3 linked regions of the Schizosaccharomyces pombe genome follow. The main gene of each other region encodes a partner of the protein of the gene in region 2 in a complex. Each region holds a gene or a part of one and is shown on either strand. Other genes may lie near its edges.

The links.
Region 1: rsm19 (region 2) and mrp51 share a complex: the UniProt entries of both Schizosaccharomyces pombe proteins name them as parts of the mitochondrial small ribosomal subunit.
Region 3: rsm19 (region 2) and SPOM_SPBC16A3.14 share a complex: the UniProt entries of both Schizosaccharomyces pombe proteins name them as parts of the mitochondrial small ribosomal subunit.

What each region holds. Positions count from the first base shown.
Region 1 is NC_003424.3:4,111,912-4,115,667, forward strand, and holds mrp51 (mitochondrial 37S ribosomal protein bS1m), read right to left. Parts: upstream 1,748-3,756; 5' UTR 1,686-1,747; coding exon 774-1,685; 3' UTR 59-773; downstream 1-58. Other genes in the region: RecQ type DNA helicase Hrq1, read right to left, coding at 1,904-2,022, 2,198-3,756. UniProt on the Schizosaccharomyces pombe protein: Component of the mitochondrial ribosome (mitoribosome), a dedicated translation machinery responsible for the synthesis of mitochondrial genome-encoded proteins, including at least some of the essential transmembrane subunits of the mitochondrial respiratory chain.
Region 2 is NC_003424.3:384,499-388,254, forward strand, and holds rsm19 (mitochondrial 37S ribosomal protein uS19m), read right to left. Parts: upstream 1,673-3,756; 5' UTR 1,652-1,672; coding exon 1,609-1,651; exon of another isoform or gene 1,546-1,608; coding exon 1,440-1,545; exon of another isoform or gene 1,390-1,439; coding exon 1,257-1,389; 3' UTR 723-1,256; coding exon of another isoform or gene 627-722; 3' UTR 563-626; coding exon of another isoform or gene 488-562; 3' UTR 388-487; downstream 1-387. Other genes in the region: pre-ribosomal protein Loc1, read left to right, coding at 1-92, 488-562, 627-722; tif313 (translation initiation factor eIF3m), read left to right, coding at 1,846-1,896, 1,960-2,116, 2,288-3,288. UniProt on the Schizosaccharomyces pombe protein: Component of the mitochondrial ribosome (mitoribosome), a dedicated translation machinery responsible for the synthesis of mitochondrial genome-encoded proteins, including at least some of the essential transmembrane subunits of the mitochondrial respiratory chain.
Region 3 is NC_003423.3:4,270,359-4,273,968, forward strand, and holds SPOM_SPBC16A3.14 (mitochondrial ribosomal protein subunit S26), read right to left. Parts: upstream 1,675-3,610; 5' UTR 1,580-1,674; coding exon 773-1,579; 3' UTR 633-772; downstream 1-632. Other genes in the region: nda2 (tubulin alpha 1), read left to right, coding at 1-90; meu7 (alpha-amylase 4), read right to left, coding at 1,983-3,610. UniProt on the Schizosaccharomyces pombe protein: Component of the mitochondrial ribosome (mitoribosome), a dedicated translation machinery responsible for the synthesis of mitochondrial genome-encoded proteins, including at least some of the essential transmembrane subunits of the mitochondrial respiratory chain.

The sequences.
Region 1 (3,756 bases), 3.7 Mb from region 2:
TATATTCACATATATACCAAAGATTGGGCTATGTGATTCAACTTTTGAAATATATATACACATCTACAGTCATTTTTATAGTATATGCTAATAATCAGTTATATCTAATTAAACAGTTGAAATGCACAATTAACAATGTATGGTAAAAGGATAAGATTTTGTAAGTTATTGAACTGTACTTAAAGACAATTTCGGAAAAAAAAAATCCTTTACAAAATTCTAACTCTTTTTTCAAACGCTTGCGCTTATATAATCAACAAAAAACATTTATTTCGAGGTGAAACCGAAAATAACGGTTAACTGAAATATATACCTAGTCAAGATTAACGAGAGTGACTTTCACTAACACCCAGAGAACAAGGATGTAACATTGCAAACCAAACAAACTTCTTAGAAAACACATTCAGTTCAAGTGTTATGACTGTTCACCAAAATGAACAACCGTCAAGTGCAAAACGCAGTTTAGGGTAAACTAGTAAATAGGGAAACAAATGGAAAGTGTAAGAGTCATTTGAAGCAATAGACCCATTATTGGTACAAGAATTTGATGCCACACAAAGAGAAGTAAGAATAAATAGATTGAAAGATTTTTTAAAGGAGAATCGTATGTCGTTAAGATTATTGCTAGTGGTAGATTGTACTGTGGGATAACAACAGAATATAGGAGACTTAAACGAACCTTCTTAATAATAAAAATGATAGGTTGTTAAATGCAACTTAAAATCGAGTAAACCATAAGGAGATAGCATAAATGCACATGATCATAAAGTCCTCTACGAATTAGAGAGGTTATCTTTCTCTGAGGAATTAGCTTCATTATTTGAGGTTTGAGAGGGAGCCATAAAAAATTTCATAATACCCCGTTGATAGGATACGGGAGCATCGAGAGATGAATCTCTTTTGGCTACCAATTGAATATCTCTGTTAAAAAACGATTCAACCTCCGAGTCTTCCGAGGGATAGGCAAGATGTGTTTCTAACTCGGGACCGGAAAAGGGAACTAGTCGGAGTCGACCATTTTTATAGACTGTATAAGAAATGCGCTGTTCCTGGGAAAAGAGGGGAGATGACCGATTTCTATTAAAGACAACTGTTCGAGGTAGCCTCAGAATCAAGCCCCCTAAACCGTAGTATGCAGTAGAGGCATCTGAACTAATTATATGGGCCGTAAGTCGACGTCGAATATTGGAACAATTTGATTCACAATTAGGTGTTACTCGAGAATTAATTAAAGGAACATTACTGTATTGAATACCGCCAGAAACTCCGTAACGGCGAAAGTTATCATTTTCGTCGGATTGTTTAGAAGGAGAAAATACCTTATTTATGTCACGCGTATCTTTCAACCCCGTTTCTTTCAATAATTCTTGCAACAAAGCAACTTCAGAAGGATCTCGTACAAATCCAGCATCAAACCAATTGCGAACTAGACGAACAAATTTAGCGCTTGATTGAAAATCTGCTTGCTTGTATAAGGAATCTTGCTGCCGCACACATATGTATCTTGTCTTTATTTTTGGAAGAGTCCTTTTCAGTCCCCAATCACCACGAGCTCTACTATTTTTTTTTGAAGTTATGGATTGCAATCGAGGAAACCGAAGGTGTGATGTTGAATAATTGGATTCTGGAAGACATTTTGGAGAAGCCATTGCCCTCGAGCCACGGAGAATTTGTGCAAAACTCATATTTTTACAAAAATTCAAGATTTATATTGGGACTTGGCTTCTATGAGGAGAACGGTGGCTGTACGGTAGTAAGCACTGAGCGCTGTCAGTATCTAACATTGACTCCGGTAAGTTAGGGTAGGGTTTAAATGTAAAATCAAAAAGCACAACGCAATATTAGTAGTACTAACTAATAATTTAGTCTAATATAAACAAAATAAAAAAAATAAATTCAATTATTAACAAGAAGGTATTAAAGTTCGCAAAGCGTGATATGAATCAATCTCTGGTCCATCAGCATATATATCTAAATTTACATGTTGACACAGTAGCATTTTCAATAAGATTAAAGCGCCAACTGAAAGAAATATGTTAGTAGAAGTAATGTGAATAATCTATTTAAGTTTGCAAGCAATCCCTTTTCATTTGATCATAAAAAAAATGAGAGTGTTATCTTACAAACTACTAAGCGACCAATCTATACGGGATTGCTTCACCGTCCAACAAAAAATGCAAAGTATATCTATACTTACCCTTGTCAAGTACTTCTCCAGAGCAAACTCCGCCTTCAAATTTTGAACTCGTAATACATCCGGGACAACCTTCACGAACTTTGCAATCGCAACTCTCAATTCGCTCAATGGCCATTGTAATTAATTCATCAGTATGTTCATATGCCTTGTTGCATAAACCAGCACCAGATGAATCACCACAATTATCATAGAAAATGAGTCGGGAAGGACGTCTTCGCTCGCTTTTAGCCTCTTTATACTCCTTTTCACCCGCTTTACATTCTGTTCGAATATCGTTACCGCTGTTACTAATAAAAATTGGCATCAACGAAAGTAAAGCATGTTGGGCAGCATGTATACTAGCGGCTCCATTTATTTTTTTTAATGACAAAACCTCAATGATATGCCAAGGTACATCTATCCAGAAACCTCGACTATCAATTTCAACAGGATGATCGGTAATATCTACCACGTCCAGAATATCTTTCTGCTTGTTAACTTTGAAATACCCAAATACATGTAATGTTGCTTTAACAGCCCCAAAATAAATGTTTGTACTTCCATGCATAGTCTTCTTCATTAAGCTGCGAACAGGATCAACATCTGTGAAATCTCTTTGCAATGTTGACCATTCAACATCAACTTGATGAGCAGTAATAATTCTCTTGTTAATATTTAGGAGCCTAATGATAAACGTTTTTCCTTGATAAACATAAACTGCACCTTCGTAAGCAGTTAATGCAACACGAAAAGGTTCGAGGAGTTCTAGAATAACATTCTTATCATTTGTGACATCGACGAGAGTAAACATGTCTTCACTAACGCTTCGTATCCGTACCTGCGAGGCAGGAAAAGGAAGATATTTTGGATGAGGCCGATAACTCTCTTCAACCATTTCTAAATTTGCTTCGCAAATGTCTTGAATTTGATTTCCAAAAAACTTTTCGTCGCTCCTTATGTTAATGGGAAGCTCATATGCAGCACACTGAAGATGACTCGCTAGTAATACCTCATTTGTCAAGTCTAAAGTGAGTTCAGCATTTGGTTGAGTGTGAATCAAAATAGGATGCTTTAAATAAAACTGATCAACGGGAAATGTCTCAACTATATATACTGCTAAGGAAGACTTATTCCTTCTACCAGCACGACCAAATTGCTGGCGCAAGTTAGACAAAGAATATGGAAATCCTATGGTTATAACGGCATCCAGTGATCCTATATCAATACCTAGCTCTAAAGCATTCGTCGCAATAATCCCATATAATTTCCCGTTAAACATTTCACTCTCTATCTTCCTGCGTTCCTGAACCGTATACCCAGCCCTATACGATTGAATCTTAGATAAAAGATCTCCTTTTTGTTTGGTTTTTAATTCCTGCCTCACTAGTCTCATTAACGACTCACAGGTTTTTCGAACACGACAGAAAACAATTGTACGCACCCGCTTTTCGGCAAATTTAATAAGCAGTTTCGAGGCTTCAGAGATTGCGCTTTTCTTTCCATCATCAGGATGCTTGGGGTCGACATAAGGTGGATTCCACATTACAAATTTTTTTGAACCAGAAGGAGAAGAAGTATAG
Region 2 (3,756 bases):
TGGACCTTCCCAAGCTAAACACTTCTAAAAATCCCCAAACTAAGATTCAGAAAAAGGGGAAGAAGAAGGGGAAAATATTTGCTGAAACTAAGGTAATTCATTCTCACATCCATGTTCTTTCATTATAGATGTTGAAAATGCTTCCATTTACTCAACAAGTAATATTCAAAAACATTAAACAACAAAAATCTCAAGTCAGTGTGGTAGATGTTACGATGATAAATATCTCTCTATATAAATCCTACAAATCTTGTTTATAAACTTTCAAGGCCCTGAACCCTATTCTTCCGCATTCGTTCCTCTTTACCACCAGATCCGACAAATAAGGTTTTAAGTGAACTTGCTGCGCTTTTTGAGTCATGTAATCTAATTTTTGATCTGATTTGGTTTGTTTGTTTTTTTACTTTTTGATTTTAATTGATGGGCATTCCTTCATCTATTTATTCATTTTCCACATTCATTGTTCATTAACTAATTGCTGTTACAGGATGACCTTCAAAATATTCTCAATCAAGTTACTTATGAGCTTGACGATAAAATAAAATCTAAACTTCAAGTGGCTGTAAGTATTTCCATGAATTATTTTGATTTCAAGTTTCAGTCAATTTACTAACTATTTACGTTAGCACGAGCGCGAAGCCGTCTTTTCTAAACAATCTGACAGAAAAATCAGCAATAACAAAGCTGATAAAAAGACGGGTCGGAAAAACGAAAAGAAATGAGTTATTCAATTGTTATAACGACACTTCCAAAGATCCTTTTTTTCGTATTGCCTTTCAATTATTAATTTTTCATTTTCTTTTGGGATATCGGGTTCATTCGGTTTTTCGATGCTGTTAATTATTCATTATACAGACTACTAAATAAGTACAACCAATAACATTAAACACATAAGCCATTGCGTTTCAAATTTAAAAATAAAAAATCCAAGTAGGGGAATGCAAAATTCTTTTGTAAAACATTGACAGAAAATTATGCAACATCATATCACTTTTTCATACATACATTTATACGTGCAAGTACATCCATTGGAAGAAGTGCTGTCATTAAAAGCCTGAAAGTAATGAAAAGATTCGGCGAATTATATATTCGCTTTCTTACAGGAAATGTCCTACAAAATACTAATATGGTAGCTCCATTTAAAGTCACGAATTGAAATTTTGAGGCAGACTTGAAATTCTTGGTAGTTATGAATCCATGTGAAAAGTGTTTTGAATAGGCCATATAGCCCAGTTTTCGCCAAGAATCCAAAATAATTACCGATTTTTAGTTTGTCTGTAATGAAATGCTTTTCTGGTAGGTGCAAATTCACCTAATTTATGCCCGATCATATCTTCTGTAATTTTTACATTGGCATATGATTTACCATTATGAACCATAAATTGAGCACTAGAATTTAGTTAGTTAACGTCCACACTTGCTAAATACGAGTATCATACCCAACCATTCTAGGTAAAATAGTTGCAGATCGCACAGCTGTTTTTATAGGAACGTTTCCTTTAATACATTGCTGAACGTTGACACCGAAATCGACCACGTTGGGTCCTATAATGTCAGAATAACAGGTTCTAAATTATTTTCAAAACAAGTATATTTATATTCATTTACCTTTCCAGACTGACCGAGCTCTGGCTACACTAGTCCAAAACATGAGGTGAAATGTTAGAAAGCTAGTTAATTGCTAATGCAGCAATCGTTAATAAATGTGAGGTAGCAACCTGGTGTTGTTACTTCCACTTCGTTTTAACCATTGAACGAGGTGGAGGTGCCAAGTCCTACTCTCCAACTACCACTAACAGCGAATATTTGCATTTCTCGTCTGCTAGATTCGTATTAATAACAGAGATGGAAGGCTCTGATTTTATTTTGGTAGTTGACTCTTCCGTAGAGGAACAGGTATGTCGCTAATGACTCGGCGATTTTTGGTAAAACTTTTTTCAACTAACGAAATTTCAAAAGGTGGAAGAATTGGCTATGTATTTGGATAATCTTGAGGCTAATACCGATAAAAATGTACTTGCTCTTTGCCGAGAATATTTGGCTTCTGAAAATGTTAAAGAAGTTCTTAATCTGTTTCTGACTCGCTTGCCATTGTTGGCACAAGCACCTGAGAAAGGTAATGCAAAATAGTTTTAGGCTAGGAAATTAAAGAATTATTTTAATAAGTGCTAAAGGGCATTTGTTATATTGTTAGTTCTGAAAGTATACTATGAGCTGATGTGTTTGGTTTGCAGCTTTCCAAGTTTTCGCTTATTTTCTCTTCCATGCTATTACTAACACGAAACAGAACTCGAGCCTATTTTAGCCGTCTTTATTAATCTTATCCAAGAATCTGCTGCTTTCGAAGATCATGTTTCTAAATTTTGCCAAGCCTTAGAGCAGATTGCCGATCAAAACAACAATCTCACTCCTGCCATACTCAGTGTCTTAAGCATTTTATTTAATACGGCCGTCAAAGAACGTCAACACGCACGTTTAAGCATTCTTACTAGTGTTGTTACTCTCACTACCCGTTATTCCTTGTTTAGCACTCTTGCACCTAATTTGAAATACTTCCCTGACTGGCTTAAAGAAGCTGGTGTCAGTGTATCGGACCATCGGGCATTTAATATTTTTGTTTCTAAAGCTATTCAATCATACGATGATGAGCAATCATTTGCTTTCCTTTTGGAAGCCGTAAAAATGGACAACTCAACTGCTGACGAGGCGGTTCGCGAATTAGTTCAACGCGCTGTTAACAGCCCTAAGTACTTTTTCTTTGATGATATTGTCACCCTTCCACCCGTTCAGCAGCTTGAACAAAGTACTTTACAGTTACTTGGTATTTTGTCCGGCGGGATGACCGACGATTATGTAAGTTGGGTTGCCGAAAACCATGCTCATTGCCAACACCAAAAATTTGATGAAGATGCAATTGCACGTAAGATGAAACTTTTAACTATTGCTTCATTAGCTACCCAGGCTCCCAATAATACATTATCCTATGGTGATGTAGCCAAGAGTTTGAAGATTGATGAAAATGAAGTAGAATTATGGATCATTGATGTTATTCGTGCTGGACTTGTTGAAGGCCGCATGTCTCAGTTGACTAAAACGTTATCCATTCACCGTAGCAGCTATCGTGTCTTTGGTAAGCACGAATGGGTTGCTTTACACGAAAAATTAGCTAAATGGGGTTCAAGTTTACGTTACATGCTACAAGTAATGGAGCAACCTTTATCTAGCTTTACTATAGCCTCTAGCAAAAAGGGAAATAGAGACGGATCCGCGGTCACAGCCTCTGAATAGTTCATTAGAAAAATAAAATAGGATTCTGATCATTAAGTTTCACCTGTATTAGAGTTACCTTCAATTACGTGGACTTTAGACTAAAGATTTTCTTATAAATTTTAGGTTGCAGTACACTAATAAATAGCAGACCAAAAGCGAAGAAGTTCAAAGCAGCAATCACTTTCTTTGTAATTATGGATGTATCCGTGCAAGACTCTTTTTAACCAAGAGACTTCCCTAATTATTTCTGTCGTCAACTTAAAGAATTTTTTGTACACTAACTAAAAAAGTAACCTACAACTGTTACGTAAAATTGAGATTTTAAAAAAGGAAAGAAGATTGACTCCTAATTTTGCAAAATGATTAGCTTTATTAAATCTTTTGTTTATATCTAACAAATCTGTCAACATTCGTTTTTCCTAACGCATAAATAACTTTGACTTAACATACATATATCAAGTGTTGCTTACCTGACGTTACTTAAAA
Region 3 (3,610 bases), on a different chromosome or scaffold from region 2:
GAAGATTTGGCTGCCTTAGAAAGGGATTACGAAGAGGTTGGTCAAGATTCTATGGATAACGAAATGTACGAAGCTGACGAAGAGTATTAATTTATCCAATAATCGCTTTTATACGTTATTTCATTCGTTTTATAACTTGAAGATATCTTGCATCTACCCTTGTCTCTTTAATCTTTGTTTATTCAGCCCTGTGGTCAAATAACTAAAGGGTGTCTGTCTTTCTTTGAGAGTTAAAATGTTCACCCAGCGGCAAGGAGATAAATTGCTCGTCCACTTATCTCACTGATTTTTTAACTTGAACATTCTTTTTCTTTACTAGTCAATTCTCATTTAGATATCAATCTAATCCACTCTATCTTTGCAAATAAACCACCAGTAAAATTTCAATTTCTCCTTTCTGTGGTATCTTTTTTTTTTAATTTTGCATGAAAAAGAGACACTATAAACTGTAAATTACATTGTGTATTGGCGCTTTTCTAGCTTTACAAAAAAAATGTTTTTAATCTCAACCTCTAAGCAATAAATCGGTTAATTGGTTAATAAATTACTTAACTTATATGACTCGATTGCTCGGAATTAGCCTAAAATCATTTAGAATACGAGCATGAGCCAAAACAGTCTACTGTAGAAGTTTCAAGGACGAGTAGAGAAAACACAATTTTTATTAAAATTAGAATGAAATTTATAAGGTGAAAGTAGAAAAAGGCGTTTTTTTAAAATCATAACAAGATTGTGATGAGATATAATTATCTAAATTGATTGCACCTTTCTTTCATACCAAAGAATTAGTCAATCTTTCCTCAATGACAGACCAATCTATGCAATCAAACCATGTGTCGATGTATCTTGAGCGATTTAAAAGACCGTAATCTTTATAATATGCATGATTCCATAAACAAAGGTTTAAAATGGGAACATGCGCATATTTTCGAGGTCTGGCACTATAATCTGGCACACTAGAAATAAGATGGGGATCATTTGATTGCCATCTAGTCCAAAGATACGGAGAACCTGCTTGAAAAGTTCTCAGTAAGTTTAATCTATTATAATCATCAATTACAATCCAAAGCCAACATGCTCCAAAACTATTTGAGGCAAGCTCATGAATTTTAGAAAGTAAATTTTCTTTAGAACCAAAGTTTTCATTGACTGCTTTATTGATAGCGGCATTAGCTTCATATTTTGAGTTTTTTTTGGCATCTGCAGCTCTTTTTCCGATCAAGCTTTGAAAAAAGAAATGATTGTTGTAAGCTTGACTTGCAAACTGGAATGTGGCTGCATGCTCAGGCAAAGCGGCTGTTTGAAAGATAATGTTAAACACAGATGAATCCTCAAGTTCTGTTCCCTTCACTCGATCATTTAATTCTTTTACTACTTGACGTTGATGCTGGTCCCAGGCAATGTCAAGAGCTTCAGGACTGAAAAGTGGTAGCAAATTTCTTTGTGAAAGATTAGGAACTGTGTGGTAATTGTAGCAATAGTTTACTCGATGCACATTGTCTGTAACTGAACTACATCGTTTCAGAAGGTGAGTTATCGGTGAAAGCGCAAGCCCTTTTCGTAGACCTGTGTTGAGCATAAGCAAATTATCTGAATATTAGGTATAACTTGCTGAAATACCTATATAAACCAACAACGAAGTATTTAAGGGAACTGGACGTGTTTGGGTATCGCAGCTCGCCTTGTGTCAAATACAAGTTAGCCACACCACCGCAATTATGAATACGTTTGGACGGTTTGCGTCGGATATCATTATGGGAGTTTAAATTTTTTTGGCTAAAGCTTTACTTGAGTACTTTGTAATTTAAAGCCAAAAATTAAAATGGATTTACCCGTCTATTATTTATATTGAGGTGACTTATCGTTCATGAACTTCAGTACAGAGCCCTATGGGTCTGTAAACTAAGTCATCATACTTTATATGAAAAAGGTTTATGTAAAATAAAAAATCTGTATATTATTAGATTTCAAGGAACGTATACCTACAAAATCATTAACAAAGATAATAAAAGAGCGGCGAGGACATTGGTAAATCCTCGATTTTGCTCTGGTGCCTTTGATGTTTGGGCTTCTTCAACGTTAATGGAGAGAGAACCTTCACTGTTATAATCTTCAGTAAGCTGAATTGGAGATGGGCACAATCCCATCTCATAAGCCGATTCCTCTGGGTACAAGATCATGGGTTCACCGTTGCGTACCATAAATACCTGTCGATTATCTTGTACTGGAACGGACTTGCAAGATAATACGTCCATCCACTTGTGCTCTTCTGCCGAAACAGTATAATGGAAATGAATGTAATATGAACCTAAGTTGTTGAGTACGGTTATTACTTTGCCACGTCGTAAAAGCAATATTCTTTTATCAACGATGCTAATATCCGACTGCATATTTAAGAAAGCTTCTCCGTCTTTGCTTTCAATCATAGCTTTGCGGAAACGATTGATTGTAGACGTGAACTTATAGTAAGGATTTCTTTTTGGGAAACCTTTCTCCCAAATTGCAGGTCGATTATAAGGAACCTCTTCACCGCGCATGGCAAGTTCTTGGCCGTTGTACATCATAGGAATACCATCTCCCATAAGAACAAAAGCAATTGCATTCTTTAAGGTGGCTGGATCACTAGAAATTGAAGCCATTCTAGGAAGGTCTTTGTTCTCAACGAAGTTTCCTAACAATAGGGGATTGACACACAAACCGCGCATGTCAGTCATTTTGTCGGCAAGATCAACAATTCCCTCTGGATTATTCATCAAAAATGCTTTTACAGCAGATTCTCTAACAGGGAAGTTACTCAACCCTTCCAAGTCGTTTTGCCAATCACAAACTTTTAAAGAGTCGGAAGATTTCAAGTCACCCATGCAAAACACTCCAGCAGCTTTGCAAAAATCTGGCCAGTACTTTCTATATTTGTCACCCATAGCATCGAAACGAATACCATCAATTTGGAAAGTTTCTACAAATGTTTGAATATAGTCCTCGAGAGCCCCTTTAGCACTAGGACGCTCATGAACTGAATGGTCTTCATGGCAAGAGCAGTGTTCCTCGTGCTTCCAAGGCTTGTGATCGGGCTTGGTTCCATTGTGGGGAACTGGACGAGGGAACTTACCGTGATGGCAGTGTTCCTCGTGCTTCCAGGGTTTATGGTCAGGCTTGGTTACATTGTGAGGAACTGGACGAAGGAACTTACCATGGTGGCAGTGTTCCTCGTGCTTCCAAGGTTTGTGGTCAGGCTTGGTTCCATTATGAGGAACTGGGCGAGAGAACTTATCATGATGGCATGAGCAGTGTTCCTCGTGCTTCCATGGCTTGTGATCGGGCTTGGTTCCATTGTGGGGAACTGGACGAGGGAACCTACCGTGATGGCAGTGTTCCTCGTGCTTCCAGGGTTTATGGTCAGGCTTGGTTCCATTGTGAGGAATTGGACGGGGAAACTTACCGTGATGGCAGTGTTCCTCGTGCTTCCAGGGTTTATGATCAGGCTTGGTTCCATTATGAGGAACTGGACGAGGGAACTTATCATGATGGCATGAGCAGTGTTCCTCGTGCTTCCAGGGTTTATGGTCAGGCTTGGTTCCATTATGAGGAACTGGACGAGGGAACTTATCAT